2 linked regions of the Elephas maximus indicus genome follow. The protein of the gene in region 1 interacts with the protein of each later gene in a pairwise test. Links are inferred from orthologs where the notes say so. Each region holds a gene or a part of one and is shown in the gene's direction. Other genes may lie near its edges.

What was found.
Region 2: the proteins of EFS (region 1) and SH2D3C interact in a two-hybrid assay, tested with the Homo sapiens proteins (2 studies listed by BioGRID and IntAct). The two-hybrid records come from large-scale screens. The link is inferred for Elephas maximus indicus from reciprocal best matches to the Homo sapiens genes EFS and SH2D3C.

Annotation. Positions count from the first base shown.
Region 1 is NC_064828.1:34,690,981-34,706,825, reverse strand, and holds the start of EFS (embryonal Fyn-associated substrate), read left to right. Parts: upstream 1-8,126; 5' UTR 8,127-8,354; coding exon 8,355-8,372; intron 8,373-13,399; coding exon 13,400-13,678; intron 13,679-13,925; coding exon 13,926-14,066; intron 14,067-14,192; coding exon 14,193-14,915; intron 14,916-15,220; coding exon 15,221-15,310; intron 15,311-15,845. UniProt on the Homo sapiens protein: Docking protein which plays a central coordinating role for tyrosine-kinase-based signaling related to cell adhesion. May serve as an activator of SRC and a downstream effector. Interacts with the SH3 domain of FYN and with CRK, SRC, and YES.
Region 2 is NC_064827.1:78,863,735-78,879,846, reverse strand, and holds the start of SH2D3C (SH2 domain-containing protein 3C), read left to right. Parts: upstream 1-8,116; 5' UTR 8,117-8,209; coding exon 8,210-8,246; intron 8,247-10,304; coding exon 10,305-10,782; intron 10,783-12,997; exon of another isoform or gene 12,998-13,085; coding exon of another isoform or gene 13,086-13,129; intron 13,130-16,112. Other genes in the region: CDK9 (cyclin-dependent kinase 9), read right to left, coding at 164-254, 999-1,080, 1,544-1,635. UniProt on the Homo sapiens protein: Acts as an adapter protein that mediates cell signaling pathways involved in cellular functions such as cell adhesion and migration, tissue organization, and the regulation of the immune response.

The DNA of each region.
Region 1 (15,845 bases):
CCAAGCACAAAAACTAACTCCAAGTGGATCAAAGACCTAAACATAAAGACTAAAACGATAAAGATCATGGAAGAAAAAATTGGGACAACCCTAGGAGCCCTAATACAACGCATAAACAGAATACAAAACATTACCAAAAATGACAAAGAGAAACCCGATAACTGGGAGCGCCTAAAAATCAAACACCTATGCTCATCTAAAGACTTCACCAAAAGAATAAAAAGACCACCTACAGACTGGGAATGAATTTTCAGCTATGACATCTCCGACCAGCGCCTGATCTCTAAAATCTACATGATTCTGTCAAAACTCAACCACAAAAAGACAAACAACCCAATCAAGAAGTGGGCCAAGGATATGAACACACATTTCACTAAAGAAGATATTCAGGCAGCTAACAGATACATGAGAAAATGCTCTCGATCATTAGCCATTAGAGAAATGCAAATTAAAACCACGATGAGATTCCATCTCACACCAACAAGGCTGGCATTAATCCAAAAAACACAAAATAATAAATGTTGGAGAGGCTGCGGAGAGATTGGAACTCTTATACACTGCTGGTGGGAATGTAAAATGGTACAACCACTTTGGAAATCTATCTGGCGTTATCTTAAACAGTTAGAAATAGAACTACCATACAACCCAGAAATCCCACTCCTCGGAATATACCCTAGAGAAACAAGAGCCTTCACACAAACAGATATATGCACACCCATGTTTATTGCAGCTCTGTTTACAATAGCAAAAAGTTGGAAGCAACCAAGGTGTCCATCAACGGATGAATGGGTAAATAAATTGTGGTATATTCACACAATGGAATACTACGCATTGATAAAGAACAGTGACGAATCTCTGAAACATTTCATAACATGGAGGAACCTGGAAGGCATTATGCTGAGTGAAATTAGTCAGAGGCAAAAGGACAAATATTGTATAAGACCACTATTATAAGATCTTGAGAAATAGTATAAACTGAGAAGAACACCTACTTTTGTGGTTACGAGGTGGGGAGGGAGGGAGGGGGGAGAGGGTTTTTTACTGATTAATTAGTAGATAAGAACTGCTTTAGGTGAAGGGAAGGACAATACTCAATACATGGAAGGTCAGCTCAGTTGGACTGGACCAAAAGTAAAGAAGTTTCCGAGATAAAATGAATGCTTCAAAGGTCAGCGGAGCAGGGGCAGGGGTTTGGGGACCATGGTTTAAGGGGATTTCTAAGTCAATTGGCAAAATAATTGCATCCCACTTTGAAATGTGGCGCCTGGGGTCTTAAATGCTAACAAGCGGCCATCTAAGATGCATCAATTGGTCTCAACCCACCTGGAGCAAAGGAAAATGAAGAACACCTAGGCCACACAACAACTAAGAGCCCAAGAGACAGAAAGGGCCACATGAACCAGAGACTTACATCATCCTGAGACCAGAAGAACCAGTTGGTGCCCGGCCACAATCGATGACTGCCCTGACAGGAAGCACAGCAGAGGACCCCTGAGGGAGCAGGAGATCAGTGGGATGCAGACCCCAAATTCTCATAAAAAGACCGTACTTAATGGTCTGACTGAGACTATAGGAATCCTGGTGGTCATGGTCCCCAAACCTTCTGTTGGCACAGGACAGAAACCATCCCCGAAGACAATTCATCAGACATGAAAGGGACTGGACAGTGGGTAGGAGAGAGATGCTGATGAAGAGTGAGCTAATTATATCAGGTGGACACTTGAAACTGTGTTGGCATCTCCTGTCTGGAGGGGGGATGGGAGGATAGAGAGAGTTGGAAGCTGGCAAAATTGTCACGAAAGGAGAGACTGGAAGGGCTGACTCATTAGGGGGAGAGCAAGTGGGAATACGGAGTAAGATGTATATAAACTTATATGTGACGGTCTGAGTTGATTTGTAAACGTTCACTTGAAGCTCAATAAAAGTTAATTAAAAAAAAAAAAAGTTGAAATGTTTCTGCATCTGCCGGTAAATAGATACTACCCTCAGCCTCCTGGGATAGCTCCCTCCTCTGACCTCCCTGTGATCCAGTAACCAAAGGCTGAATGTCTGGTATAGCTTGCTCCTGGAAGCTGGCTTAAACCTTGCTTCTGTGTTTTGATTGGTCAGTTCTCGTAGTACTCATTGCTAGTTTTTTCTTTTCTTCCCCCATCTTTCACCAGTTAATAGATGTTCATTGCCCTTTAAAAACTTCTTTTAGGGAAGCATTGAACATCAGTCACATATGCTTTAGTATAAATAATGTAGGATCCTAGAAGCTCAGGGTTAGATGAACCTTAAACTTTATCTACTCTATAGTGGGTTGAATGGTGGCCTCCTAAAAGATATGTCCATCCAGAATCTGTGAATGTGACCTTATTTGGAAAAATGGTCTTTGTGGCTGTAAATAAGTTAAGGATCTTGAGACAAGATCATGCTGCATTATCTGGGTGGGCCCTAAATCCCATAATAAATGTCCTTATAAGAAGAGGAGAAATCACAGATGGAGAGGAGAGAACTATATGAGGATGGAGGCAGAGACTGTAATGATACAACTGGGAGGAAGCCAAGAAACACCAAGGGTTGTCAGCAACCACCAAAAGCTAGGAGGAAGGCACAGAACAGATTCTCCCTCAGACCCTCCAGAGGGAACTGAAGGCTGAAACCTTGATTTCACACTTCTAGTCTCCATAACAAGACGGCACAATGGTTAACTAATTGGCTGCTAACTGAAGGGCTGGCGGTTCGAACCCACCAAGCAGCTCTGCGGGAGAAAGACCTGGTGATCTGCTTCCATAAAGATTACAGCCAAGAAAATCCTATGACGCAGTTCTACTCTGTCACATGGGGTCACTATGAGTCAAAATTGACTGAGCGGCACCTAACAACAACAGCCTCTATACTAAAATAAATTTCTGTTGTTTGAAGGCACCTTATGTGTGGTAGCTTGTTATGGCAGCCCCAGGAAACCCGTACATACTCCATCCTCCAGTTTATCCTTGAACTCTTTCGACAAGTGATTCTTTTTTTAAAAAATAATTTTATTTATTTTGTTGTTGAGAATATACACAGCAAAACATACACCAATAAGACAGTTTCTACATGTACCATTTAGTGACATTGACTACATTCTTTGAGTTGTGCAACCATCCTCACCCTCCTTCTCTGAATTGTTCCTCCGCCATTAACATAAGTTCACAGCCACTAAAGCTCCTCTCTAACCTTTTGAGTTGCTATTCTCAATTTGATCCCATGTAGATAGTTCTTAAAAGAGCATAATGCTCAAGGCAAGCATTTTTTACTAGTTAAGATAAACCATTGTTTGGTTTTAAGAAGACTGTAGGGAACACCTATAAGTGATTCTTGAATTTTTTTTTTTTTTTAACTCCTTGTTCTCCCCTCCTCCCCAATCTCTGGTAGCCACTAATCGTTGTCTCAAAGGATTCATCTATTGTAGATATTTCATATAAATGGAATCATACAACATTTGTCCTTTGTGTCTGCCTTATTTCACTCAGCATAATGGTTTCAAAGCTCACCGATGTGGTAGCATGTATCAGAACTTTATGACTGAATAATATTCCACTGTATGTATATACCGCACTTTATTCATTCATCTGGGCACTTGGGTTGTCATTGCTAAATATTTTTAATATAACTTTTAGCTACAAAGATGTTTAGGCTTAGAGAACCCAGTTTGGCCTGGGAGACAACAGAAGAAGAATCAGAGTGAATGGGACAAAGAGCCTGGCAACTCCCCTGAGCCCAAGGCTGGTGCCTCCCCAAGGAGGGCCCTTGGCTTACTCAAGCTTTGTCCTATAGTCATGGCTGCCTTTGTACATTCATCCACTCACCAAATATTTATTGAGCACCTAGTATATTCCAGGCACAATTGTAAATACTAAGAATGCAGACAAGGACAAGCCAGATAAGATTGCTGCCCTGTTTCAAGAGGAGACAGATGATAAACAGGCAACAAGGTAATTTCTGATAGCAGTAAGTGCTATGAAGAAAATGAAACTCGATTAGAAGATAGGGAGTTACTGTTAGGGGAGAGGTCACAACCTCGTCTCGGTAGGCCAGGAAAGATCTTTCTGAGGATGAAGATTTTGACATGAAGATGGAAAGAGCCTAGGGGAAGAATCTTCTTAGCAGAGGAAGCAGAGCATGCGGCGTCCTAAAGGTGGGAAAGAGTGTGGCATATTTGAGAAACAGAAAGGACCATGTGGATGGAAAGCAAAGAATGAAGGGGAGAGGGGAATGAGATGAAGACAGTGGAAGAGGGCAGAGACCAGATCATGCAGAGTCTGACAGGCTATGATGGAGCATTTGATTTTATTCCAAGCGGGAAGGTTTTAACTGGATTCAGGTATGATCCACGGGATGTGAGGTCCTCAAGGGCAGGCATCATATTCTTCACATTCTGGCACCAAGTAACACCCACATGGCTGGCACCAAATAGTAATAGTCGTTCCTTTTATCCTACATTTACGCATCATGGGCCAGGCACTGTTCTCAGGGTTTAAGATTAACTCTGAATCCTCAACACAAGCCAGTGCTATTGGTTCCATTATTAGCCCCATCTTACCGACAAGGAACCAGAGCCTCCAAGAGGTCACGTAACTGGACAAGGTTACATAGGTCCTGTTAGAACTAGGATGAGAACTCACACCATCTGGTGCTGTGGAGACCCAAAGAGAAGGGGATTGGAGAGACCAGGGAAGAATTAATGAGCATCTGAGAGGGCTTAGGTAGCAAGAGGAACAAGGACAAGTCCAAGAAGCCATGCGGTAGAGCAAGGAAGACACAGCTGGTCAGACCCTGCTGGGGAGGAGAAAGACTGGGAGAGAAGACTGGAGTCCTGAAAGCTGGATGGAGTTCCTTTCTTTCTACCCACTGAACACAGCAAGGGTAGACTCTCAAACTGAGGGCCAAGCTGCCTGAGATTGCAGCCCACCCAAGGTCTTAGCTGCCCACTAAACCTGAGTTTTCTCCAACCTTACTTGGAGCTGAGAGCTCTCCCTAAACAAGTTAGAATAGCTTAAACCTCTGTGCAAAGGAGAGGCCAGAGATGAGGCCTAAGGACAGAGAAAAGGCTCCTCCTGCCTTCACAAAGGGCATGAGCTTATGAAAGCACAAGTTAAAGGGGGAGGAAAGGTGAAGAGGAAAAGCCATGGAAGAAGATCGTTGTGCTAGGCACTTTACATATATTTCCTCCTCACCAAAGTCACTGTTTCAGATGAGACGCTGAGACTCAGAGATGTTATGTAACTTGACCAAGGTCACACAGCTACTAAACCAGAATTCACGCCGGAGTCAGACTGGCTCCATTCATGCTTGGGGACTCCAGAACACAGTCATATTTCCCTGGTTTGTACTCTGATATCTCTCATCCACATTTCCCCAGGCACTGGGCTACACGCAGTGAGCCCCACTACTCATCTCCCAAGCCACCAGTCTTCCCTGGCCCTAGCAGCTTCTTTCCTGCTTAGCCTTTTCTGGCCTCCACCTATTTCCTTTGGTGTCAGTTACAGCATTCCTCTTTGAACACAGGGTTTCCTGCCCACCTCCACCTTGGACCCCAATTTGCTTTGACAGTCCCCTGGGCAGAGACCATACCAGTTACCCCACCCCCCACCCCCCACAGCTGAATGTCTATGCTCCAGGTGGCCAGCCCCCACCCCCTCCTCTGCTCTCCAGGGCTGAGGTCTGGAGGTTGGAGAACCTTCCCTAGTGGCCACTTCAGATGAGGATGGAGCTGGGATGAAGGCACTCTCCCTTCAGATGTATCTGTTCCCATACTGACCTAATGGAGTCTGGGTCTGTTCAGGATGCACCCCATCTCTGAGCCAAGCCCAGAGCCAATATGGTTCATCCCCACGTTCACCCCAGCATCTCTCCCTAACCCTCATAGGCTCCATCCCTCGCCTCTGCAGAGGGATCCTCATAGGTGCCCAGGCAATAGGGTGGTGAAAGAGCTGGCACGGGTATCCTCCCAGTGTCCTGGGAAATGCCTGGATATGTGGATCTGCGGAATGTGTACGTATGTGGCGAGGAGAGCACAGTCCAAGTCCTCAGGTTCCAAAAGGGCCTTAAATTTAGACTTCGGATGTTATCTCCTAAGGAGGTTATACACAGAGCCATTGTCTATGTGTTTGAAGTGTTAATTTGTTAAATGTAAACACTGAAAAATATACCACAGCTTTCAACACTGTTTGGTGTCTCCTTTTTTAAGGACCAGGAAACTCAGAAATGGAAGTAGGTAGGGTTCCCTCAAGCCTCTGGTGTGTGCCCAGGAGGGAGAACCAGGAGAAAGAAGTGGCTGGAAAGAAACAGGAAATCTAAGGAGTAACAATAGGAAGGGCAGAGAGGTGTGGGGGATTAAAAGAGCCCTGTCATTTCAGCTGAAACTCCTTGGGGTACAGATCCTAGTCCTTCTAAAAGAGTTTTTGCCCTTCTGTGCCCGTTGTCACCACTCCTGCTTCTCCCAGGCAGCACGGAACCAGAAGGGTTGAGGGCGGGGGACAGGCCCAGACTGGCAAAGTGTGATAGGCTACCCAACCGGCCCTTCTGCAGCTCTGGGGCCAGGAGCTCAGGCTTCACGTTCTCCTGCCAGTGCCAGAATCCATGCCCAGCCCCAGACTCCAGCCTGTTCCCCTCAGGAACAGCCTGGATAACCCTGTCATCCAAGGGAGGGGAGAGGCTCTGCAGGGGACCCCAGTAAGGCGGAAGGAGCACGCTCCCTCCCAGGGGAAAGACAGATGTGGGGCTAATGAAAGGAAGGCAGAGAGAGGCGCGGGGCTGGCGGAGGAGGGCGGGGGCGTGGCAGGGAGAGGAAAGCTCCCAGCGGGGAGCTGACCAGACCACCGGGAGATCCGCCGCGTAGTCGGGAAGACGGAGGCGCGGAGCAAAGGGGCCGGGAGGGGGAGTGCCGTTTGGCCCGAGGGTCCGGAGCTGAAACTCAACACCCGCCTTTGGAGGGATCGTCCTCCTTTCTCCTCCGCCCCCTCCCTTTTCCCCTCCCTCTTTTTCTTAATCCCCAGGACTGAGCCGCGCGTCGGAGCGGGCCGGAGGGGAGGAGGAAGAAACTGCACTGAGAGGGAGCCAGGAGCCCGGGAAAGGGAGGGTAGCCGAGAGCGGGGGGTGAGCCTGGGGGCCACGCGCGACCCCCGGAGCCTCCCAGCCCTCCTGCTTCGGGGGGGACCCTCTAAGGGTCCCTCCCCAACACCCCCCAGGCGAGTCCACAGGACCTTAGCCACTGCTCTCTTTCGCCTTCCTTTTGCTTCTTCTTTTGCTTTGTGGTCTTTCCCTTCGTTCCCAGAGACACCTGGGAGGTGCCGAGGGGCCCTGCCTAGGGTGCGTGCGAGCGTGGGCTGCGGGGCCCGCTTCGGGTGCCAGGGGGCAGAGGGTGCGAGCGGTCGTGCGCGGCCCTGCGCGCCAAGGCCGAGGGTTGGAGGAGGGCGGCGGGCCCCTCTCTGCCTGGCCGCCAGCAGGAGTTGTTCAGGCCGCCCCGCCTCTACGGGTTGTGCCTGCGTGCGGGCTGCTGCCAGGCGACAGCCGGGGGCGAAGCACCGTCGCGGCGCCCCCAGGCTCCCCAGCTTGCTTACAGCGAGCGTGCGAGCGTAAGCCCGCCGCATTGCCTGTGGTGCGAGCGTCTGGGCAGAAAGCAGCCACTCCAGCAACCCAGCCCAACGGCCACGCTCTCGGAGGCCTTTGGTGGCAGCCCGGCCTCCCCACGCTAACTTGGGCGAGTTTGAAGAGGGACAAAAGTCTCAGTTCTCGCTCTCCTGCTCTCCCAGCGGGTGCCGCCGCAGTGTCCTCCGGTGCCCCGAGCAGTGGTCTGGGAGTCCCACTCTTCTGCGCGCCCCCCGGGTGGGAAGGGTTGATCCCTAAACTCACTCGTCCAGCTCAACCGCCCCGGCGGCCTCTCCCAGCCCTTGGGGCCGCTCAGAGAGGCCTGGAGAGGCGTCGAGTACAGCCCCAGCTCCCGCCTTCTCGCCGGTCCGGGCCCTAAAAGGGAGCTTTAGGCCCATGAGGGTCCGGTAAGCCTCCGCGGCCTAGGGCAGGCAGCCCCGGGGGCCTTGCCAGCCTGGTGGCCCCCGGGACAGTACATAGCGCGCGCCTTTGGATAAGGTCCCGCAGCGACGCCCCGACCCGCCTCGCTCCTCCTCCTGCCTGGCCAGGCTGCCTCCCATTTGGAGAGTTTTGTGGATTTTCTTTCTCCTCCTCCAACTTCGGCGGAGGCCACGGCTCAGGCGCCGCAGCCGGGGGGCGCCTCCTCGCCTGGAGGCAGTGGACCATGGTGCGGGTCAACCGCTGCTGAAGTCAGCGAAACCGAGCCTGGCCTGGAGCAGGCCACGCCAGAGGCCGAGCCCATGGCCATAGCCACGTCGGTGAGTCCCATCAGTGAGAGGAGGCTGCCGAACAGCGACCTCCACAGCCTGCCATGCGGTCCTGTCACTTTTATTTCTTCCTCTCTTTGTCTCTCTCCTGGGTCCCTTTCTTCGCCAGAAGGCTGTCTCCCCTCCTCTCACTTTTGTTCCCCTTTCCTTCTCACTTATCCCCTGCGCTCCTACGGGTTCTGAGTTGCCCCTCCTCCCCTCCCCCTCCCCATTCTCCTCTATTCTTTCTGGAGGCTGCTCTTGGAGCAAGGGGAGGGGGCAAGTGTAACCAGAAACCTATCTGCTTTCCTGGGCGGGAACAGGTGGCCACTTGTGGTCGGCAGGGGCTTGTGATTGGGAGGCTAGTAAAAGGTTGGGAGGGGGCTGAAAGGATGTAGTTCAGGGAAAATGGGAGAGGCCAAAGGACTCTTAGAGGCCCATCTCTAGAGGAGGGACGGAGGAAACGGGGGAAATGGAGCAAAGAAGGACGCTCTGGCAAGAGAAAGAGAAAATAGAGGGAGGAGGGGAGGTGATGTCAGCCAGCCTCAGGCCACTTTCCGGGGACTAGGGACAAAGGGAGGAGACAGCTGGCTGGATGGGACAGTGGGAGGCGGCCTCCCAAAGAACAAGTGGTCCACGGCCACCCCCATTAAGCCAGCCATTCCCTCACAAGTCGGCTGGGCCCTTGAGAAGGGGGTAGAGCAGGGGTGGGCCACACCCATCATCAATCCGTCTATAACAACTCTGCCCATCGTTGTTGTTGTTGCTGTCGTTAGGTGCCATCAAGTCAATTTTGACTCTTAGCTACCCCATGTGACAGAGTAGAACTGCCCCATAGGGTTTTCTTGGCTGTAAGAAGCAGATTGCCAGGTCTTTCTCTAGTTTCCTGTAATTGCAAGCCTGGGTTGTTTGGCCCCATTGGACAGAATTCAAACCTAACAGGAAGGAGTACTTCACAGCCCCACCTCTGCTTTCTGTCTTATGCCCTCTGTAGCCTGAATCCAAGTGATTCCCAGGGAAAGTGAGGCTGCCACCAGTGTTCTGGCCCCCCTCTGCTTGGGAACTCTGGGAAGGAGGATTGTGAAACTGGAAAGAGAAACGGAGAGACATCCATCATCTTCCCATACCCCTGGAGGGGGCCTGCTGGGTTTGAGTTTGGCACCATCTCAGACCAAACTCCTTTTAGTTTCTCAGTCTATGTGATGGTGAGAAGACCTTAGCTCAGAGCCAGAGAGGGGGAGGTCGTAAAATAGTAGGGGCACTGTGACGTAAAGATGCTGGCTTAGGAGCCAGCTGGTCAGCTTTTAGTCCCAGGAGGTAGATTTTTTTCTTTTACTCAGAAGTGAGGAGGTCCAGGGAAATGACTTACACTAATCAGACTCTCAGAATCCTAATAACAGCTAATATTTATTGAGCATTTACTACACCTGGCACTATGCTAAGCTTTCTCGTGGGTTTTTTTTTTTTTCATTTAATGTGAAGTCCACAGTTTAATTGTTAAAATGTGTGCCAAATCATATGTTATTCAAAAGAACTTGAAAAAAAACAATATTTTTGACAGCTAGACTAAGAAATCTAACCCTTCAGTGTCCTTAAGTCATTTTTTTTTTTATTGTGCTTTAAGTGAAAGTTTACAAATCAAGTCAGTTTCTGATACAAAACCTTATATACACCTTGCTATATATTTTTTTATATATATACTCCTGGAAACCCTGGGGGAGTAGTGGTTAAGTGCTACGGCTGCTAACCAAAAGGTCGGCAGTTCGAATCCGCCAGGTGCTCCTTGGAAACTCTATAGGGCAGTTCTACTCTGTCCTATAGGGTTGCTATGAGTAGGAATCTCCTCAACAGCACTCGGTTTGGGTTTTTGGTTTTTATATACTCCTAGTTGCGCTCCCCCTAATGAGACAGCACACACCTTCTCTCCACCCAGTATTTCTGTGTCCATTCAGCCAGCTCCTGTCCCCCTCTGCCTTCATATCTCCCCTCCAGACAGGAGCTGCCCACATAGTCTCATGTGTCTACTTGATCCAAGAAGCTCACTCCTCACTAGTATCATTTTCTTCCTTATAGTCCAGTCCAATCCCTGTCTGAAGAGTTGGCTTTGGGAATGGTTCCTGTCTAGGGCTAACAGAAGGTCTCGGGACCATGACCTCCAGGGTCCTTCTAGTCTCAGTCAGACTATTAAGTCTGGTCTTTTTACGAGAATTTGAGGTCTGCATCCCACTGCTCTTCTGCACCTTTAGGGATTCTCTGTTGTGTTCCCTGTCATTGCAGTCCTTGGTTGTAGCCAGGCACCATCTAGTTCTTCTGGTCTTAGGCTGATGTAGTCTCTGATTTATGTGACCCATCCTTTCTCTTGGGCTCATGCTTACCTTATGTCTTTGGTGTCCTTCATTCTCCTTTGCTCCATGTGGATTGAGACCAACTGATGCATCTTAGATGGCTGCTTGCTAGCGTTTAAGACCCCAGACACCACTCTCCAAAATGGGATGCAGAATGTTTTCTTAATAGATTTTATTATGCCAATTGACCTAGATCTCCCAAGAAACCATGGTCCCCAAACCTCTCATGGGTTTTTGATGCATTATCTCACCCACAACCTCACAAAAACCCTATGGGGATAGTAGTATTATTATCCGAGTTTTACACAGGAGGAAACTGAGGCTCAGAAAGCCTAAACAGCCTGCTCAAAGTCACCCAGCTAGAAAGGGACAGAGCTAGGACTCAAACCCAGGTCTGCCTGCCTCTGGAATCATACTCTTAACCCCCTGGCTAGATCTAAAACACCAGTTTATAATTTACATTTAGAAAGAAACATGCTGAGCTAGCCAGAAATCTATGTCATCTGGTTTGCATGTTTCCATTCTGTGGAACAATATCCTTTAGAAGCCAAAATATAATGAAAAAATGGTTTGATGAGTTTGGAGTCAGGCAAGAGGAGAAGTTAGTTTGTTGTTAAAGTCAACCAGCCGTGAAGGGCTGGACAACCTCTCCACAGAGGGAAACACCCACCAGAAGGCACATGCACTCATGCCGAAGGAACAGGGCAACCTCCCCAGGGCCTGATGGTCAAATGCAGCCTGTTTGAGGTCTTCAGCTTGGGATTTTTTACTGAGTTGGTCAGCACACGGGGATTACCTAGTCAGTACTCCCAAACTACCTGCTGTCCACCACCACTGCCTGGGGCCCTGCCAGCAGCCATGGTCACTTAGCTATCATAACTTAAGCAGAACAGGTAATTTGGCATTTTGAGTGGTTTAAACTTGATTCTGCCAAAGGATATCCTGGAACCCGAGCACTGTGAAGGGTTACTAGCAAAGGGAAATTGGGCATAATGAAGCCTCCATGTGCCCTTGACTCATGTTTGAGTCATGGACTCTCGACTCAACCACTGTTAACCAATATAAGAAAGTAGGTCTATACATTTGTGATTGTGGAGAGGCAGTAAAGCAAGTGATTGAGAGTGCAGGCTCTGGAATCCAACAGCCTGGGGTTCAACTCACGCTCCACCAACTCTGCATCACTGGGCAATGTACCAACCTCTCTGTTCCAATTTCCTTTCCAAAATGGAAATAGTGGTGGCCCCTTCCTCATGAGGTTGTTGTGAGGATTAAATGAGATAATTAGTGTAAAGACATACACAGTGTCTGAACATGTAATTAGCACTCAGTATCTGTGACTTAAGGAGCCCCTGGTCATACAATGGTTAGAGCACTCAGCTGCTAACTGAAAGGTCAGCAGTTCAAACCCACCAGCCACCCTGTGGGAGAAAAGATCTGGTAATCTGCTCCCATAAAGATTACAGCCAAGGGAACCCTATGGGGCCGTTCTAGCTCTGTCTTATAGGGTCACTATGAGTCGGAATCTACTCAACAGCACGCAAAAACACCTGTGACTTACTAAAAAGTCCTCAGGAGGTGCAAACGGTTTGTGCCAAACTGCTAACCCAAAGGTTGGTGGTTCGAGCCCTCCCAGTGGAACCACAGAAGACAGGCCTGATGATCTGCTTCCTTTAAGATGACAGCCAAGAAATCCTACGGAGCAGTTCTACTCTGTAACACATGGGGTCACTCTGAGTTAGAATTGACTCAACAGCAACTAACAACAACAGAAACATCTGTGGCTTATAATCTGAGCATATGGCCCTCGATGGGCCCACCCGATGGACAAGAAACAGGCTAATAAATGTTTGTCTTGGTTGGTTTGCCAGCCTGCCTCTAAACACACACACACTGGAGTGTACACACTTTTCTCCATGGTAACCTCAGCCTCTTCTGAGGTTTGCTCAGACTGAGAACAAACCAAGTGCTTCGGTTTCTGTTTTCTTCATTATTATGCTTAGGCACTGTGTCTGGCCTGGGCTTCTCCCACTTGCTCAGGTTAGGGGATTTCTGCAACTGCTTCTTTTGGGGGGACACCAGCTGAGGGAAGGTAAAGAAAATTCTGGGGAAAACCTTAGCAGGACTTCCTAGCACACACACAAGGCTTTGGAGGAAATTCATTCAAAGCTTGTTTATTGAGGACTGATTGTGAGCCAGGCCCTACTGCAGGTTCTAGGAAGAAAGCAGTTCCTGTCCTCACAGGGCTTACAGTATAAGGGAAGAAATCAGTAATAAAGTAAATGGACAAACAGTGTAAAGAATTATGACAGAAACCATGTGTGGAGACAGAGAATGGGGGCTGGGGGAGGGGTGAAGAAAAGGCCTCTTTGAGAAGGAGACATTTAAGCCAAACTGAAGGATAAAAAAGGGCCTGTAAGATAAGAAGTCAAGGGAAGAGCATTTTGGGTAGAGGGAACAGCAAGTGCAAAGGCCCTGAGGCAGGAAAGAATTTGTCTAGTGCAAGGAATAGAAAGGAAGAGGGAGAGCGCAGGAGGAGGGGAAGCTAGAGAGGAGGTGGGCCCAGTGAGAAAGAAATGAGCCATGAGCTCAGATTTTTAACCTAAGGGAAACAGGGAGCTCTGAAGGGGTCTGAGCAGGGGGTGACATGACCTAACATGGGTGAAGACCCTGCCTCACTCCCACCTCACCCACCAGGCCCAGCTGGCCCGGGCACTCTACGACAACACTGCTGAGTCCCCCCAGGAGCTGTCCTTCCGCCGAGGGGATGTTCTACGGGTCCTGCAGCAGGAGGGTGCAGGCGGGCTGGACGGCTGGTGCCTCTGCTCCCTACACGGTCAGCAGGGCATCGTGCCTGCCAACAGAGTGAAGCTCCTTCCCACTGGCCCAGCACCCAAGCCCAGCATCTTCCAGGTGCCCCCACCTCCGCCTGGCTCACCATATCCAGCCCCAGAGCATGGCAATAAGGACCAGGAGGTGAGAGCTGGGGAGCCCGAACTCAGCCCTGTGCCCTTCCTCTGGGGCCTGCAGTGAGGCAGAGCAGGTTACCTCAGCTCTTCACTGACTTTGCTCTGTGAACCCTAATGACCAGCCCTTCCTGGGCCCTGCTTCCCCATCAATACAGGGAAGGGGTTGGAGGGCCTCTAAGCTCCTTCAAGCCAGACGTTATCTTGTTCCCTGGCCCCTCACTCCTCCTGACCCACCCACCTATCTTGATCCCCAGGTGTATGTGGTACCACCCCCAGCTCGGCCCTGTCCCACCTCAGGATCTCTGACTGGACCCTGTCCGCCCTCCCCTGACCCCATCTACAAGATCCCCAGAGGCAGGGGGACCCAGCTGGCTGCCCCTGGAAACACTTCAGAGGTATGGGCAGGGGCTGCCTGGGCCTGGAGACCCATGTGTGTCTGTGTCTGTGTGTATATAGCATGGGGGCCCCCAGGGAGGGTTCATCACTAAGCCTGAAGACTAACAACTCCTCCCCCTCTCCAGGTCTATGACGTGCCCCCCACTGCCCTCCGGGTTCCATCCAGTAGCCCCTACGACTCTCCAGCCTCCTTTTCCCGCCCTCTGGCCTGGGTGCCCCCACAGCCTCCTGGAGAGAATGAAGCTCCCTATGATGTGCCTCTGACCCCAAAGCCACCGAAAGAGCTGGAGACGGACCTGGAGTGGGAGGGGGGCCGGGAACCTGGGCCTCCCCTCTATGCTGCCCCCTCCAACCTGAAACGGGCATCGGCCCTGCTCAATCTGTATGAAGCCCCCGAGGAACTGCTGACAGAAGGGGAAGGTGGGGGCTCCGATGAGGGCATCTATGACGTGCCCCTGCTGGGGCCAGAGGCACCTCCTTCCCCAGAGCCTCCAGGAGCCTCAGCCTCCAATGACCTGGACACTCTGTCTCTGGTTTTGGCCAGGAGCCCCCCACCCCCACACAGGCCCCGGCTGCCCTCAGCTGAGAGCTTGTCCCGCCGTCCTCTGCCTGCCCTGCCTGTCCCCGAGACCCCCAGCCCTTCTCCGGCTCCCTCTCCTGCCCCATGCCGAAAGGGCAGCATCCAGGACCGGCCTCTCCCCCCGCCCCCACCCCACTTGCCTGGCTATGGGGCCCCCAAGGCTGAAGGGGATCCAGAGGGAGGACAGGTGGAGGATGATCCAGAGGGACACCACAATGAGTATGAGGGCATCCCGATGGCTGAAGAGTATGACTACGTCCACCTGAAGGTGAGCACCTCTGGGCCAGCCCCACCCAGAACCCCCCAGCACAACCAGGGAGAAGAGGAAAGAGGCCTGGAGCCCAGCCCCTGAGCCCTCCTCTTCCTCCCTACGTTCCTCCCTGCCCTAGCCCTCCACCTGAAGCCTGGGTCCCCAGTACTTGGCCATACCGCTTGTACCAGTACACCTCTTCTGCCCCTCAGCCCTCTGACACAACAGTCCCCAGAAGGAAGGGGACTCAGAGGGGCAAAAAGGCTGCTGAGGCCACCCACCCTGCCCTCCCACCTCTGTGCTGAGACCTGGATCCCCTGCAGGGCATGGATAAAGCTCAGGGATCTAGGCCCCCGGATAAGGCCTTCCCAGGGGACCCTGAACTGCTGGAGAGGGAGCTGCCAGAGCAGCAGGTAACCTTGGTGGGGGTGGTGCGAGAGAAGGGGGTCTGGGGAAGGGGGAAGAGGAATTTGGGAGGAGAATTCTTAAATAACCATGAATGGAAATAGATTAGGACGGGAATGAGAGGGGATAGATAGAGTAGAGAGGAGTTAGAATTAAGTAGGAAGGAGCTGGAACCTGGAAGAGGATGTCGGGAATTCAGAAAGCTGGGAAAGAATTTGCTGGAGAGGCGTCAGAAAGCCAGGCAGCCAGGGGAGCAGAAAGGGTATAGGTCAGAACTGGGCTGAGCGACTTCTAAGGCTCCTTCCTACTGTGAATTCCTGGGTGCCTAAGAGACCTGGGTCCTAATCCCAGTTCCACCGCTAAGAAACCAGGGCTCTGAAGCCGTCAGTTAATCTCTCTGGAAAGTGAGGTGGTTTCCTGGACCCTGTCTAAAATGGTCAATCACAATAGCTACCATTTATCAGGCATTTACCAAGTGCCAGGCCCTGTGCTAGGCACATTACATGCATCAGCATTAATAATAGTCATTGTTTATTAGTGGTT
Region 2 (16,112 bases), on another chromosome or scaffold:
CCTGGGGAAGAACCAGCTACGACGAGAGAGAACCAAAGAAAGCAATCACCACTGCCTAAGAAGAAGCATTTTAAGGCCCTCCAGTTCTAACTTTACAAACAAAACCTTAGGCTATAAGCCCCACTTTCTCCATCTAAAAACGAAGGATGAGATCCAAACATACCTTTGGTTCGACAGATCTCAATCAAGTTGACCACATTCTCATGTTTCAGAAGTTGGAGAATCTTGATTTCCCGTAGGGCTGTGATGGGAAACTGGGGGGAAAAAAGACGATAAGAGGTCAAAAGTGAGTCAGAGAGCTGCGGGCCAAGGAACTGGTCCTGGGGTCTCTACTAAGGCATACAGATTGAAAGACAGAGTTAAGAACATGGGCTCTGATATAAGCTCACTCAGATCCCTTATCTGTAAAAGGGGTATGATAATAGCATGCACACCTCAAAGAGCTGGTTTGAGACAATGAACTTAATACCCTTATTTTACACAAATTCTTTACTATTCATCACTATATACGCTATTGTCTCCTGCTATTTTCATGTGTTAGCTCTATGCCTGTGTTTAACTTGCTCTGTGGTCACAAAAATAACCTTAAAACATCTTTGATGAGAACTTGGTTTCTGGGGAGTGGGATGAGAGCTAAGATTGGGTGGGATGCTCCTTTCCAACACACTTCTTTGAATATTACTCACTTTTTAAAGCCATATGCATACATTTTTTACATTAAACAAAATCATATACTAAAGAAAACAATTTTTAAAGCTTCTAAACTCTGAACCAAAGTGCATGCAGTGCAAGCATGAGCTCCCCCTCCTGGACTCAGCCCTACTTAAACAAATGTTTAAGATATTTTAATTAAAAGACTTAATTTCGAGGCCAAATTCCCTGAAATGTGCCAATTTCCGAAACTACTAACAAAAATTCAACCTCAGCAGGAGACTCCTGGAAAAAGCAGGCTGGAAACCCAAACCCGCTGCTCTGTGATGCTGGCGGGCCGCACTTACCCCCTCCTTCTCGTTCTCCATCAGCACCTTCTTCAGGGCCACCTTCTGGCCGGTCTTGCGATGCTTGGCCTTAAACACCTCCCTGCAGGCCGAGAGGGGACACTGAGGGCTGATGAGGCAGTTTCCGCAGGGCTCGCCCCTCCCCCACGAGAGGAAGTGTGGCAGGGACAGGGAGACTCCCGGGCGGGGCTCGGCCGGGCACCCGGCACTCGGCCACCTCACCGGCCTGGGTCTCCGGCCCCTTGCCGGGCCTCCGCTTCCCTCCCTCAGTCCCCCCTCTTTACCCAAGCGCCTTCCGGAGGTCCCGCTTTCCTCCCCAGTTCCTCTCTGCAACCCCTCGCCGTCCCACACCCCAGGCCTCAGGCTCCTCCCCGCCAGCCGGCCCCGTCAGGCCCCGGCGGGATGCGGCCCGGCCTTGCGAGACCAGGGGGCATGCCCGGGACTCAGCGGCTTCCCAGCCAACTCAGGCCCAGCTCCCGACGCTCCCACGTCGGCCCTGGGGAGTGCTGGCCCCGGGGCCCCAGTCCCTCGGGGCCCAGTCTTACCCAAAGGTGCCTTGGCCGATTTTGGCGAGCTTCTCATATTTGGACACCTCATCACAAAAGGGGCACTCCACTGAGTCGTACTGCTTTGCCATGGCCGCCTCCAGCGCGCCGCCACCACCTCCAGCCACCGCCGCCGCTCCCACTCCTGGACCTGCTGCTGTGCTCCAGGCCCCTCCGCGGCCGCGCCACTTCCGCCTCCACGGCCACTTCCGGCCTCGCGGCACAGACCCCGCCTCTTCCGCCCGCCGCCCGCCGCCGGGCCCCCTGGGACTTGTAGTTCCCGGGAGGCTAGAGGGAGCTGGAGCTGCAGAGGCGCCGCCGCCGCCGCCGCCGCCGCTGCCCCCGCCGCCGCCGCCGCCGCCGCCGCCACTGCCGGCAACGGCCCCGATCGGGGGCGCGGGGAGCCGGGGCGCCGAAGCTGGGGCTCTGAGCGGTGCGTCCCGCTGCATTGGCCCGGGCCGCTGCTGCTGCCGAAGCTGCTTGCCGCTCTGGCGCCCGATCCGGGGCCAGCCGCAGTGCCCTGCTCCTCCTCCTCCGACGGCACCGCCTCCGCCGGGCTGCGCGGGGCGGCGAGCGGAGGGGCGGTCCCCGAGCCGCGGCCTGGGGGATCCCTGGCCGGGCCCCGGCTCGGGGCGTCCGGGTTAGGGGGCGAGGCAGAAAGAGCCGACGAGGAGGCGGCCCGAGAGCCCCGAAGGGGGCGCGTTATAAAGGGGGAGGTGCCCTGGCCTCGCCCTCCCTTCTCCCTCTACCCGCCCCCTCCCTCCCACCCTCCGCGGCCGCACCTGCCGCCGCCGCCGCTGTCGCCGCCCGCCCGCCCGCCCGCCCGCTGTCCGCCGGCCGCCCTCGGCGCGTCACCGCCTGCGGCCCCTCCCCCGCTTTCGGAGGTGGGGCTCCGCGCCCGACACCTGGCTGCGAGGCGGCCCACCGCGTGCCTCAGTTTACCACCCCGGCAGGCTGTGACGGGGAGCCCCTTCTTTCACGGCTCGGAGTTACCCGCCAGAGGCGAAGGCGGGAGGCGCCAAGGGAGCGGCCTCCGGCCCTGGGAGGAGTGAACGGCCCCCGCCACCGCCCCCCCGGCCCCCGCCACCCGTCGTTGACATGGCAACCGACGGCCGCCAGGGGGCGCGGCGACACTGGAGGCGGCGAGCTAGCAACGCCCCGGCCTCGGGCCCTGTACCCCTGGTTCTCTGGGAGGCAGGAATAAGAATCACAGCGCCCCCACCCCATCCGTGCTGCGCCAGAGCCGGTTGGGCCCATGAAAATAGCTAACATTTACTGAGGACCCCCGTGTGCTCAAGAAGTGCTGGGCGCTCACGCTGAATCCTGGCAACAACCCCCGCAGTCAGGATCACTAACCCATTTTACAGAGAAGGACTCTGAGGCTCAGAGAGATGAGGTCATTTGCCCAAGGTCACACAGTGGCAAAGCTGGAACTTGGTCTCTCTGAACCTGCACGAGGATTCTTTTGACTCTGGCTATTTACAGTATGCTCAGGAGGATAGCAGTGGTGCTACCTGAGGTATGCTGTCCTCCTGCCAGGCACTAAGCTTCCCACTCACCACCGTCCCCCTCCTGACCATACACTTCCCCACATCCCCATGCTGCCTATGCCTTTCCCAGCATCTTCTTGGTATCTTCCTAGCGCTAGGAGCCTCCATTTCTTCCTCTAGCTCTGCCCAATGACCAGCCGCTAGCAGAGTTGTCTTTTCTATGTTCTTCAATCTGCCCCCTTCTTTACAGCTCTGCAGATGTATCCTGAATCCTGGCCACCCCAGTCCAGCCTTTCCATCTGTCTTTCTCACAGCACCCACCAGATTATTCTAAAGTGAGGTCTGCATGTATTTCCCACCTTCAAACCCTCCACTGTCTGGTGACATTCAAGGCTCTTTGTAACTCACCTCCCCAGGTCTATGGCCACACAAATCTCTCTTCCACTTCCTAACTCCTTAAGCTTTCCTGTCTTCAGGGCTGTGCTCTCCAGTCCTCTCCCACCACCCTTCCCCTGACCGAATACCCTTTCTGCCTTCAGAAAGCTCAGGGTTGCTCCCCAGCTCTTACCCTATACTGCCTGGCCTTGAAACCTTCTTGTGACAGCCAGGAATGGGTTTGTTGATCCTGGTATCCCAAGAGGCCCTGTTCTGGGGCAAGGCCTTGCCAGGGAGGGCCTTAAGGATCAGTCCAAGGAGTGGGGAGGCCTCTCCTGAGGGCAGTGTGGAGCCTGTGAGGGTTTTAGGCAGTTGAGTGATGTGTCAGAGTGTGTTGGGCCAGCTTCACGGGTAACCTGTTGCAAACAGGGAGCCCATTGGCTAATATGGGGGTGAGCGAGGGCAGGGAGGACAAAGATAATGATTATAGTAATTAACATTTATTGAAGAAAAATAAATGGGGCAAACCCTACACCTAGCACCATATGAGAATCATCTCAATTCTCACTCAACCCTGTGAGTGGGTACTATTTTCAACTCCGTTGTACACACTGGGTCAAATAGCTAGCCAGTGGCCAACTGGTATTTAAACCAGGTCTGTGTGGCATAAAGCCCAAACCCTTACCCATGTCAGGGCCTGGCCCATCCAGACTGGAGGTGGAGCCAGGGCAGAGCCGTGACACAGGCAAGTTGGCCTGGAGGTAGGATGGGAGGTGGAGGAAGGCAAAGTAGCAATGCGGGTCTGCCATGGGTCTACGTGGCTGCCACCCTCATACCTTCAGACCAGGGCCTGCTGCCTGTTTCCCACGACACCTCCTCTAAGCCACGTCCTGTGGGCAGAGACCTCAGCAGAGGTTCCGGTGCTATCATCACCTCCAACCTACTGTCCCTGGCCTGAACCCCGATATCCATCAGTCACTCCTACTTGGAGCCTTGAACCCTCAGCCCTCCCTGGGGAAGGAAGGCAGGCAAGGGGGGTCAGGAACCCTTCTGAAGGCTGCCACCCACTAAAACTGGCAAAACCCAGGCAGAAGTGAGAAGAAATTAGATCCCAGCCAGAAATAATTTCTCGCTAACTTTGACGTCTGTTTTGCTGGTTTCCTGCTTCCTGTGGACTGGCTAAGCTGGCAAGGTTGGGCATATGGCTGGTACTCACTAACTGTCTGCTGGCTGACCTACTGACCAGGCTCTGACAAGCCCTTAGTCCTGCTGCCATTTAACAGTTTGGGCAGTTGAGACACAGAGCAGGAAAGGGAGCCACTGGACAGCTTTTTGACCCTGGCCTGGACCCTCTGTTTCTACCCCAGAGCAGGAATGGGGTAGAGAAATGTGAACGGGAAGGAAGATAGGCTCCTGGGCTGGGCTGCTTTTGGCTGCTGGTGTGACCAGACAGACAAGGGGTCACTGCGTAGAGGGATACAGGACAGAATGGCTGCTGATGTCCATGGCCCTATAAAACCATGAAAGTTCTGCCCACACTGGCTGGGCACTGACTCTGTATCTGGCCTGTGTTGACATGTGTCATCATCCCCTGAAACTTGATAGCACCTCTTTTGGGAGGTGCTATTTTTGAGCCCAGGTTACAGAGCAGGAAACCGAGGATCTGAGAGGTGAGGTGGCCTGCCCAAAGCCACTCATCCAGGGAGCAGTGGAGGCGGGATTCAAAACCAGGTCTATTTTCAAAGTCCAGAGTCATTAACCATCATCCTATACTGCCCCCAATACCAGGCAACCAGGTCAACCCGGGGAAAAGCATCTATTGAGCACCTATGGTATAGCTGCTGATATGGTAGGTAAGGCATCCAGGAAGCTTGAGTTCTGTTTGGAACATATAAATAAAGACACAAATAAATGTAATAAGAATTATAACCTCAATAAAAATGTTTTTATTTCACTTTCACAAGATGGTGTGGAGGGATGTTGTATTTGCTCCATTCTACTAACCAGGGAAAAGAGGCTCGGAGAGGAGACATGACTCCCCACCCCACACACAGGTGGGGACTGAACTTGGGTTTGCCTGAGTCCAATGCCTTTGAAGTTTTAGGTCTCCAATTTCTGATACTACTTGGTGAAGCTTCAGGTGATTGAGTCATAGACTAGGGGAGAGGGGCAAGGAAAAGGGACAGAAATCAGAGTAGGGTTCCTGGGGGCACTGTGGCTTGGCCAGCCCTGGAGAGACTGGAAGGATGCAAAAGTTTGAGCCAGTGGAGGGGAGAGCAGCATTCTCGATGTGGGTCCAGCCCAAGCAAAGGCCTGGAGGCAGGGGAATGCTAGTTAGTGTGTTCAGGGCTGCGAAGCGTGGGCTGGGCAGGGCTGGCTTCCAGCACAGGCTGAGAAGGGCCTGTGGGACAGCCACCCGCCAGCAGTTTCCCAGCCACACTCCCAACGGCCACTTGAGGCAGCACAAAGGGGGCTCTGAGCTTGGCGGAGCTGCCACACTGAGCTCCATTCATTCTCCCAGCGACAGGGGCAATTCCGCTGGCACCCGGGCCAACGGCAAGACCAAGACCGGCCCTAGCGCTGATGAGGAGCCTCCGCCAAAGCAGCAAGCCCACCCACCAAGGTTTTCCTGGCCTGAGCGGGTTTGTCCTTTTCCTGGCTCCCTCCTATTCCATAGCAACAACAGCCACTGCTTGCCGAGGCCCACTGCGTGCTAGCATTTACTTTTCATTCTCCCATCTTCATTTCACAGATGAGGAAACTGAGGCCCAGAGAAATTAGTCGCAGGATCACACAGCAAGTCAGGAGTAGGCTGGACTGGGAAGCCAGCACTGGCCGATGCCACAGCCCTGGAACTTAACCCTAGTTATGTTGGAACTGCGTCCTGAGAGAGAAGCTGGAGCGGGGGGACCCACCCTCTGCTTTCTGCTAGGGGCCCTCTCCATCTTCTGACATCAACCTGAGACAGGAAAGGGCACTGGCCTGGGAGGACAGACACCTGGATGTCTTTCTCTCTAGTCTCTGCTCGCCCTTAGCCTCAGTTTCCTCATCTGTGAAGTAGGGACAGTACCAGAATTTGCCTCATAGGTCTGTTGTAAAGATTCAAATGGAGGATTGTGGAGGCTTCCAACCTTGTACCTGGCACATTGTCAGTGCTCGATAGCAAGAGCTAGAAATATACCTTCTTCTCCCAAGTTCGTGACTCAGAAATCCCTTACTTTCATTTGAGCCTTGAACACTGGTCTCATCCATGCCTATCTGCAAGCCAGGACCTTGCTCCCTTGGCCTCATGGGCTCTGTTCCTTTCCTTTTCAGGGCCCCTGTTCACCCTTACACCAAGAAGAAAGTTCATCCAGACTCTCCTCCCACCAAAGTGCATCACCTTGCTGACAGGGAGTTAGGGGAGGCCATGAATGTGGCAGTTAAAAACTCAGGCTCTGTAGCTGGACCAAGCAGGTTCCAACTCCAGGTGACTTAACTTTTTGGGGCCTCAGTTTCCACATCTCTAGAATGGGGACAAAAGTAAAATTATTTACCTCTTATGGCTAAGGACTGAGCTATGTGGCTGGAATGAAGTTGGCAGAAGATTTTAGTCATCATCATTATTTTTATAGAGGATACAAAAACCAGCTCCATCTGACCTTGGACTCCCTCCCTCTTAGGCCTGGTTGTCGGCCTGGAGGCCAGAATAATAATAAAATAATGCCAGAACCTCTGCAGGTTGACTGTGGACCTCATACCCATTTTAGAGGTTAGGTGACGGAGGCTTTGGAGGCAGAAGTACTTGTCTGCACTAGGATTTGAAGCCCCTGGTTTTGCTGCTGCACCAGCCGGAGCAACTGCTGACACCCTCTGCAGGTGTTGGGGATGACCTGCTTGAGGGGAGGTTGCATTTCCTCATCTCTGTCCTGCTCACAAGAGTGTGCATACAAGGGAAGGTTGTAGGGTAGGGAAAGTACCAGGCTCCTGTTAAGGGACCCGGAAGGGAAAATTGTAACCCAATCTGTGCTACTGACCTATTGTGTGACCTGGGGCAATCACTCTGTCTGTGCCTTGGTTTCCCCCTCAGTGTACAATGGGTGTGGTGGACCAAATTACTGCTGTGTCCCTGCTAAGTGACCACGCCTTGATAGGCACCAAATCTGTGCCAAGCTCTGTGCCAAGCATGGGACCCTGAGGGGTAGGCACTGCAAGCACCTCTGCTCACAGAGAGGAAACTGAGGCTCAGCGAGTGAGCTCTCCAGACCAAGATGACAAGGTGGCCAAGTGGCCAGCCAAGAGTTGAATTGGGTCTGAGTGGTCCCAGAACCCACAGGTCTGACTACAGACGCTCCTACCCCAGTTGCCAGTCTATCTCCAGGGTACCAAGGCTTGTAACAACTGCCCTGCATGCTGGCCTGACTTCCCGTACCCTCCCCTCTCACTGGCCAGCCCCCCTGATAGTTGCTGGAGGCCCTCGGTGGCCCCTGGCCCAGTGGGCTCCGTTCCCAGAGTCTGTGGTTTGTTCCCCAGACCTTCCAGGTCCCATGGGCTTGTGGTCCCCCTCCTTCCATCCCCTGCTGCTGAGGCCAAGGAGGCGACCCAGAGGGGCTGAGAATGGGGAGGCCCCACCCCCACCCCCTGTGAAGAGGGTGGGGTGGGTGGGGCTGTGGGAGTTTCACTGGTTTAAAAATAAACAGAGGAAGCCAGCAAGAGGGCTTGAGAAAGGGGAAGGGGAGGTGGGGAGGCACATCATTGTTGATGTCCAGAGCCTCAAGTGGCTACTTGCCTGCTGCCCTGGGGCTCTGCACAGCTCGCCAGGATGACAGAGGAGCCCAGAAAAGCCAGCAAAAAGTTCAGTGAGTGCGGGACTGCTGCCTGTGCTCGTCTGCATCCCTCCAACTGTCTGTCTGTCTGTCTGGGCTTCTGGCTGCATCTGTTTCTCTGTTCCCCTGTGCCTTTTCTGTTTTTCTTTCTGTCCATTGCTGTTTCTCTCCGGAGCTCTCTGCTTCTGAATTTCCATGTTGCTGTGTCTCCAACACCCTGGCCCAGTCTCTCTCTCTCTGTCCCCTCAGATGGCTTGACTCCATCTCCTTGCTTCTCTTGTCCCTGTCTCTTTGCCCATCTCTGTTTCTCTGTCTTTCCCCACCCCGCCTCTCGGTCTTTCCATCTCTCCCCATCTCTAGCTTTGTCTAACCTCAGGGCTGGGCAGGGAGAGATCTCCCTCCTCTGCCCTCTCTCCCCTCCCCAGCCTGGGTCCACACTGATCTCAAGCTGGGAGTTACTGGGGCAGGGGGGATACCATGGGATGTTGTCCCATGTTCCTACAGCAGTGAGGCTGGGACCCAGCACCTGGGAAAGAGCCCAGAGCTACTAACCAGGCTCCTGGGCCAGGGGCCACACCCACCCTTCCCTCCACTTCCCCAGCTGGGTCTGCTCGTGGTCCAGTGAACTTCCGCTGTCCCCTGAAACCTTTGATCTGACAGCACCAGGGAGGGAGGTAGGGGAGTAGAATACAGGGTTATGTCTACATTCTACAGATGGGAATACTGAGGCCCATAGAGGGCCAGAGACTTGCCTGAGGTCATATGGGACCACTGAGCTAGGCTAGAGTCTGCATCCCTGGACTCTAGGCCTCGGTTTCTCTCTGTGCCCCACTACTGCCTCTACCTCGAGTGCCCAGGAGACAAAACAAGTAATGCTGAGAAAAGAGGCAGCTGATGGTTATCCCTCTGGCCGTGGGCACAATTTCTACCCCAGGGGGCAGCTGTCTGAGCACATAGCATCAGCATTTTCTGACAGCATTTCTCAGGAGGCAGAGGTGAAGACCAGGTGAGGGTAAGCAGGACAGGGTGAGAAGATCTGACTCAGGAGTCCAGAGCCTGGGCCCTAGTCTAGGCTCAGCCATGGCCTTGCTGTGTGACCCTGGGCAAGTCCCTTCCCCTCTCTGGGCTTCCCGTTGATGGGGGATATCTTACCTATATTCCAAAGTGGTTGTGAGGACCCGAGGAGGTGGAGGTTGCCGGTAAAGTGAAAAATGCCAGTTTTTCTATTTTGCTCATCTAGGGGCCATAGGGAAGGAAGTCAGAAGGTAGAGGCTGAGAGGAGGGATAGTCCTACAGCTGGGGGAGGAGAGGAGGGAGCTCACACACACTCCTGCGGAAGTGAGGAGATGGTATCACCCGAGCCCTGTCGCCTCAGTCCGATATGTGGGCTCAGCTGACAGGAAGCAGAGAACCGCAGAGTGGGACCCTCAGGCCCCCAACACCCCTTTACATTTCATTCCCCTTCCTATACACACACAGGTATCCACACCCACTCATACATGCTTCACCTATTGACTGTGTGACCTAGGGCGGTTCATTTCACCGTTCTGAACCTCAATTTTCTTATCTGGAAAATGGGGAGTTAAGCTTGGGGCATTGAGTTGTGCTGGGGATTCAGTGAGGTAATATGTGCAACATGTTCGACAAATGCAGAGGTATTTGTCACAGTAATGATCACTGTTGTCATTGTCTTCATCGTCATCACGACCTTATTGAGGGTAGTCTGTGTGCCAGGCACCCTGTTAAGCTTGTTACTTACATGCTTTTCTTCAATCCTCCCATCGCCCATGAAAGGAAGTAGGCATTATAACTCGAACTTTACTGATGTGGTGAATGAGGCTCAGAGAGGTCAAGTGACTTGCTTAAGGTCACACATCCAGGATGTGAAAGAGCAGGGATTCAAGCCCAGGGCTGTATGATTCCATAGTGTTACATTACTTTCTGGGAATGTGATAATACTTAGAAGGGGTTTCAGCGAAGCCCTCCAACCTCCTTGAGGCCTCAGTCAGTGGTACTGGAAATATTTATTGTTATTGTTGTTGCTATCATTGTCATTAATTCCTTTTCCTCTGCTCCTCCTACCCCCGCCAGAGTTCTTCAAGTTCAAGGGCTTTGGGAGTCTCTCCAGCCTCTCCCGGTCCTTCACTCTGCGACGGTCCTCAGCCCACATAAGCAACCAATCCCATCTGGAGCCTGACACCTTTGAAGCCACGCAAGATGACATGGTGACAGTTCCCAAGAGTCCCCCAGCCTATGCCCGCTCAAGTGACATGTACAGCCATATGGGCACCATGCCTCGCCCCAACTTCAAGAGGGCTCGAGACCAAAAGGCTGGCCAGGAGGCTCAGGAGAGGGGTCCTGAGCCCCACCTGGTGCCCCAAAGTCTGCGAGACCCCCCAGGCTTGGAGGCAGTCAAGGAGGTGTTTGTGCAGGCCGTTGCTCCCCTGGATGACATCCCAGCAGTGGGGCCCAGTCCTTCAGCAGTGGAGGCAGGCCCCACGAGAAAGCCTGAGGCCCCTAAGGTAGACGTGGAAGAGGAGAGCGCTCCCAGGGATGTGTCCTCAGGAAGGTAGGTGCCCCCAGGGGCAGGTGGAGTGGGACCTACAGGGATGGTGTTTCCAGCCTCCTGCCAATGTACCGCTGGAGAGGATCCCCCAACACACACATCTGGGTTAAAAAGAAAAAGAAACATGTTAACCAAGTGCTTACTACAGACAAGGCTCTGTGCAAGGACTTTCACTTGTAATTAATTCTCAAAAAAAAGAAAAAAACTCAGTGAGGAGGTACTGTTATTATTTCCATATGACAGATTTGGAAACTAAGACTCAGAGAGGGGAAGTCATTTGCCCTAGGCAGATGGCACATCTAGATAATGACAAGGTTAGGATTCGAACTGACGTCCACCAGACTATGAAGCTATAGCCTCCAGCATAGGCCCTCAACTGCTGGTTGGGCCCTGACCTCCATCACTGGAGCCCTCCTCTGCTACCCCCCTTTTCCTCACCACTCAGGTCACCATGTTTAATCCTATTGGACAACACTGCTTCACCTGATCTAGAAAACTGTTTGTCAACTTGGTTATAGGGTGTATTTGTTTCCTAGGGCTGCCATAATAAAATCCCACCAAGTGGGTGGCTTATAAGAACAGAAGTTCATTGTCTCACAGTTCTGGAGGCTGAGAGTCCAAATCAGGGTATCAGCCATGTTGATTCCTTTGAGTGCTCTGAGAGGGAAACTGTTCCATGCCTCTCTCTTGGCTTCTGGTAGCTCCAGGTATTCCTTGGCTTGCAGTTGCAGCATCTCAAGGAGTCCTTCTTCTGTTTCCCTGTGTCTGTGTATCTTCTCTTTATAAGGACACCATTCCTATTGGATTAGGACCCCACTCCAATACGATCTCACGTTAACCTAACTGGTAATATCTTCCAAGACCATACTTCCAAACAAGATCTCATTTACAGGTACCAGAGGTTAGGACTTCACCATATCTTTTTGGAGGGACGCATTTCAATCCATAACATAGAGTGAGCTGAGTTCATGCAAAAACACAAATAACAGTGATGTGACAATAGCTCCCACTCAGTAAGCACTTTTACTGGGTATCAAAACAAATGTTATCTCACTGAAAACTCTGTAGAAGTTTCTATTAGCCCCATCTTAGAGATGGGAAAACTGGGACTCAGCCGAGGTTGTAGAGCTGGGATTTTAGCTGGAATCTGCCTGCCTCCAGTGGCCTCACACTTATCTGTCTTCTAAGCCTAAGGCCATTTTCTTTATGCCTCTGGGAGACTCCTCACCCTTAACCAAAGCAATCATCCATGTTCTCAACCTGCAGAGGCAGAGCCTCTGACTAAATCAAACCAGTCAGAAGTGCCTGCTGAAATAAAGAGAAAAAACCCAGCTGAGCAAAAGTTAACTCTAGGGTAAATTCTGGGACCTTTCATGAGTGGCCTTCCCCTGAGACATCAAACAGCTTCTGAGTACTGGGCTGTAATCTAGTCTAGACCCCCGGTTCACTGGGGAGTGGAACCCTGTAAAGCTACACAGCGAAACCGGTTCAGTCTTTTCCTCTTACTGCCTGCATGACCTTGGACAAGGGTGTTCCCCTCTCAGAGCCTCAGTTTCCTCATCGGAAAAATGGGCATCATGATAGCACCTATCTCATAGGGTTATGGTGAGGATTCAAGGATAATATACCTTCGAAATCTCAGCACAGTGCCAAGCACACCGAAATGCTCAGTAAATGGAAATGCTTATGATTATGGTTAATAAAACTAATGCTTTTCCTCCATACCTGGCTGCTCCAGGCTCCCTTCTCCCGCCAAACCCTCATAAATCTGGCTCATGCAGGTGTGGAGGAATAAGAATTGAGTGTTTAGAGGGGAGTGCCTGATGGGCCTGAGGGAGTCTGAGGTGCTCCGAAGTCTGGGATGTGCACTAGGAGCCTGGTCCCTCCCCGCCAGCAACGTTGACAGCCTGGGAGAGCTGGGCGCGGCGGGACGGGACGGAGGGGCGTGTCCTTTCCGCGGACTGTTTGGGAAGCCAGCGTTGGAGCGGGGCGGAGCGAGGCGGAGGTGTGGTGGTGTGTGCTGCGAAGGGCGTGGCTCCCCAGCTTCGGAAGCCGACAGACGGGTAGGGGGCGGAGCGAGACAGGAGGCGGAGACACGTGTTTGGGGCGCGGCTTTCTCTGCTAGAGTAGCGGGCGGTGGAGCGGAACCCGGCAGAGGGAGGAGGGACGTGCTCGGAGGCGTGGTCTACAGGTCAGGCCCCGCCCCCGGGCCCTGCCTCACACTCCGCAGCTCGGAGGCCAGAGAAAGGCAGGAGCCGCCGGGCTGAGGACGTCCCGGTGTTTCGGGCGGCGACCACAGGGAAATCATGACTACAGTGGGCCGAAGATACCCGGCTCTGGGGCCTCGAGGGTGAGTGACTCAGCTGGGCCGGAGGAGGGCCGGCAGGGACAGGAGTGTCTGAGGGGGAAATCTGACCCTCTAGGACAGCTGATGGTTAAGAGCTGTGGCTGCTAACCAAAAGGTCGGCAGTTCGAATCCGCCAGGCGCTCCTTGGAAGCTCTATGGGGCAGTTCTACTCTGTCCTATAGGGTCGCTATGGATCGGAATCGACTCGACGGCAACGGATTTGTTGGGTTTAGGACAGCTGAGGGAGCCCTGGTGGCTCAGTGGCTAAGTGCTTGTCTGCTAATCCAAAGGTCAGGGGTTCGAATCCGCCAGCCGCCCCCGCGGGAGAAAGTTGTGGCAGTTTGCTTCCTCCGTAAAGATTTACAGACTTGGAAGCCCTATGGGGTGGTTCTGCTCTGTCCTATAGGGTAGCTATGAGTCAGAATCAACTGGACAGCAATGGGTTTGGGAGGACAGCTGACAAACCGAGGTACCAGTTTAGCATCAGGGACTTTTCTAAGTCACACTTCCTTGGCTTTAACTCTGTTCTGGCCTTGCCCTGGCACACACTGGGCATCAGCTCTTCTACTCACAACAGCCTTAGGAGGGAGGTACTATCATCATTCTCATTTTACAGATGAAGAAAGAGAGGTTTACATGCCCAATTTGGCACAGTAGGCATAGTGGTTAAGAGCTGGGCTACAACCAAAAGGTCAGCTGTTCCAATCCACCAGCCGCTCCTTGAAAACCCTATGGGGCAGTTCTACTCTGTCTTATAGGGTCACTATGAGTCAGAATCGACTCAACGACAATGGGTTTGGTTTTTTGGTTTTAATGAAAGTCAGAATCAGCTTTAATTCTGACTTCTAGGTCTATGCACTTAATGACTGGGCAACAGCAGGGTCGGGGTCTCTGAAAAGGGTAGTCTTTAGCAACCTTGAGAATGCCAAGCCTAGGACCCAACCCAAGCTTTTCTCCCCTTTTGGGCAGAGGCCCTGGTGGTTCTGGAAGTGCCTCTGGCATCAGGTCTGGCCTGGAGTTGACTGAGGAAATGGAGAGACTCTTCCCCACTCCCAGTCACCCCAAGTGTTCAGGAATCCTAGGTTGGTGGGGTTAGCAGACCAGATTAAGCCCTCTCCTGGTGTTCCTGGACTTAGTGTCTCACCTCCCCACAGGGCCAGGTAAGAGGCCAGGAGCCCGATCTTTCTTCCAGAAGCCCTGAACCTCAGTCCTGCACTCTGGAGTCAGGAGAGCTGCCTCATCTAGTGATCTCAGGCTAGTCCTGCTGCACCCTGGGCCTCAGTCTCCTCAGCATCCCAGATGGGTTGAAGATAGTCTCTGAGAATCCACCCGGTTTGGGGAAGAGGGCCTTTGAAGAACTGCCACTGAGCAAGAATAGGGTCTCCTTTCCTGTGGGTCCTGAGGGGTCATCCCAGTGGCTGCTCAGGGAGCAACCTAAGCTGGGGGAGATGATGTCATCCTCCCTACCCCCTGGAAAGCAGGGTGCACCTGGAGCAGGAGGAAGGAAGGGGAAGAGGTGAGGCTGCAGGAGTTTCCTGGTGCCCTGCTCCCTGTTGAGATCATGGGGGATGACGAAGAGGAAGAAGGAGGGAGGAGGGGCCAACATCACAGGGATGAAGGGCCTTCAGCAACCAAATAGGAGAGTACCAGCCTAGCTGCCCCCTACCGCTCAAGCACCCTCAGCCTTCTGTAAGGAAATGGCAGATCCCAGAGAGCCACTGGCAGCCGTCTCCCCACTCCCTGCCACTCTATGTTACAGAGGAGGAAATGGAGGCGCAGAGAGGGAAGGGAGGCCTGCAAGTGGCTCCCCTAAAGGAATCAGCAGGCCAGAGCCTGCTCCAGAGATGATCTTGACCCCACTCACAGCCTGCCAGCCCACCTGGAGTGCACTGTCTAACACATGGTCCCTGCCAACTCCTTTACTCCTGTTTTACCAGTGAGGAAGCCAAGGCTCAGAGAGGGAAAGGGACTTTCCTGGGGTCACAGAGTGATTAAGTGCCAGTGCCTGGATTTGATCCCAGACCTGATCCACTTTCAAGCCCAAACTTTTAACCACAGGCCACATTTCACTTTCCTCATGTAAAAATCTTAAAGCTTTCTCTACCATTTCCTCAAATGACTCCCCATAACCCCCCGGAAAGGAGGTAATAAGAGCTCCATTTTACAGATGAACATACTGAGGTTTAGTGAAGTTGATGACTTGCTTCCTATTATAGAGTTAGTGAATTAAAACTTCATTTTAATACCTACTGAGATGCAGCTATGCCCCCAGACACTGTTCTAGGCTCTGGGGAGACAGCAGTGAGCAAGGCAGACAAAACCCTGTCTTCGTGGAGTCCCCATTGCAGTGTGGAGAAGACAGATGTTAAGCAGGATAAGTGAGTTATGTAGTGGACTAGAAGGAAAGGGGGCTATTGAGAAAAATTAAAATTAAATGGAGGGATTGGTTGTGCAGGGGCAAGAGTGGCTAGTGGTGGCAACTTAGGAAAGTTAGCAAGGAAGAAAGTCTCAGTGAGAAAGTAACGTTTGGTCAAAGGAGATGAGGGAACAAATCCTCTTCCTATCTGGGAAAGGATGCACCAGGCTGAGGAATGCCATATGCAAAGGCCCTGAGGTAGGAGCATCTGTGGCAATTTTAAGGAACTGGAGAGACCACAGTAGCTGGAGAGAGCAAAAGGGGTAGGTGGGAGGCCAGGCCAGAGAGGAAATGGGTTCAGATAATGTAGGGCCTGGAAAGTCCCAGCAAGGACCTGGCTTTGATTCTGAGTGAGATGAGGGACCCGCTCTGACTTACATTTTAAGAGGACCTCTCCGTTTAGGAGGATCTGAACACAGCTCTGCCTTACTCCAAGATGCCTTGCCCAAGTGTCCTTTGCCTCTGACCCCGAGACCTAGGCCCCTCCCAAGGGGCTCTCTAGCTGTTCAAAAGGAAACTGAAACTTGGAGAAGGGGCACCATATAGGAGAGCTGGGGTACCTTGTGTTGC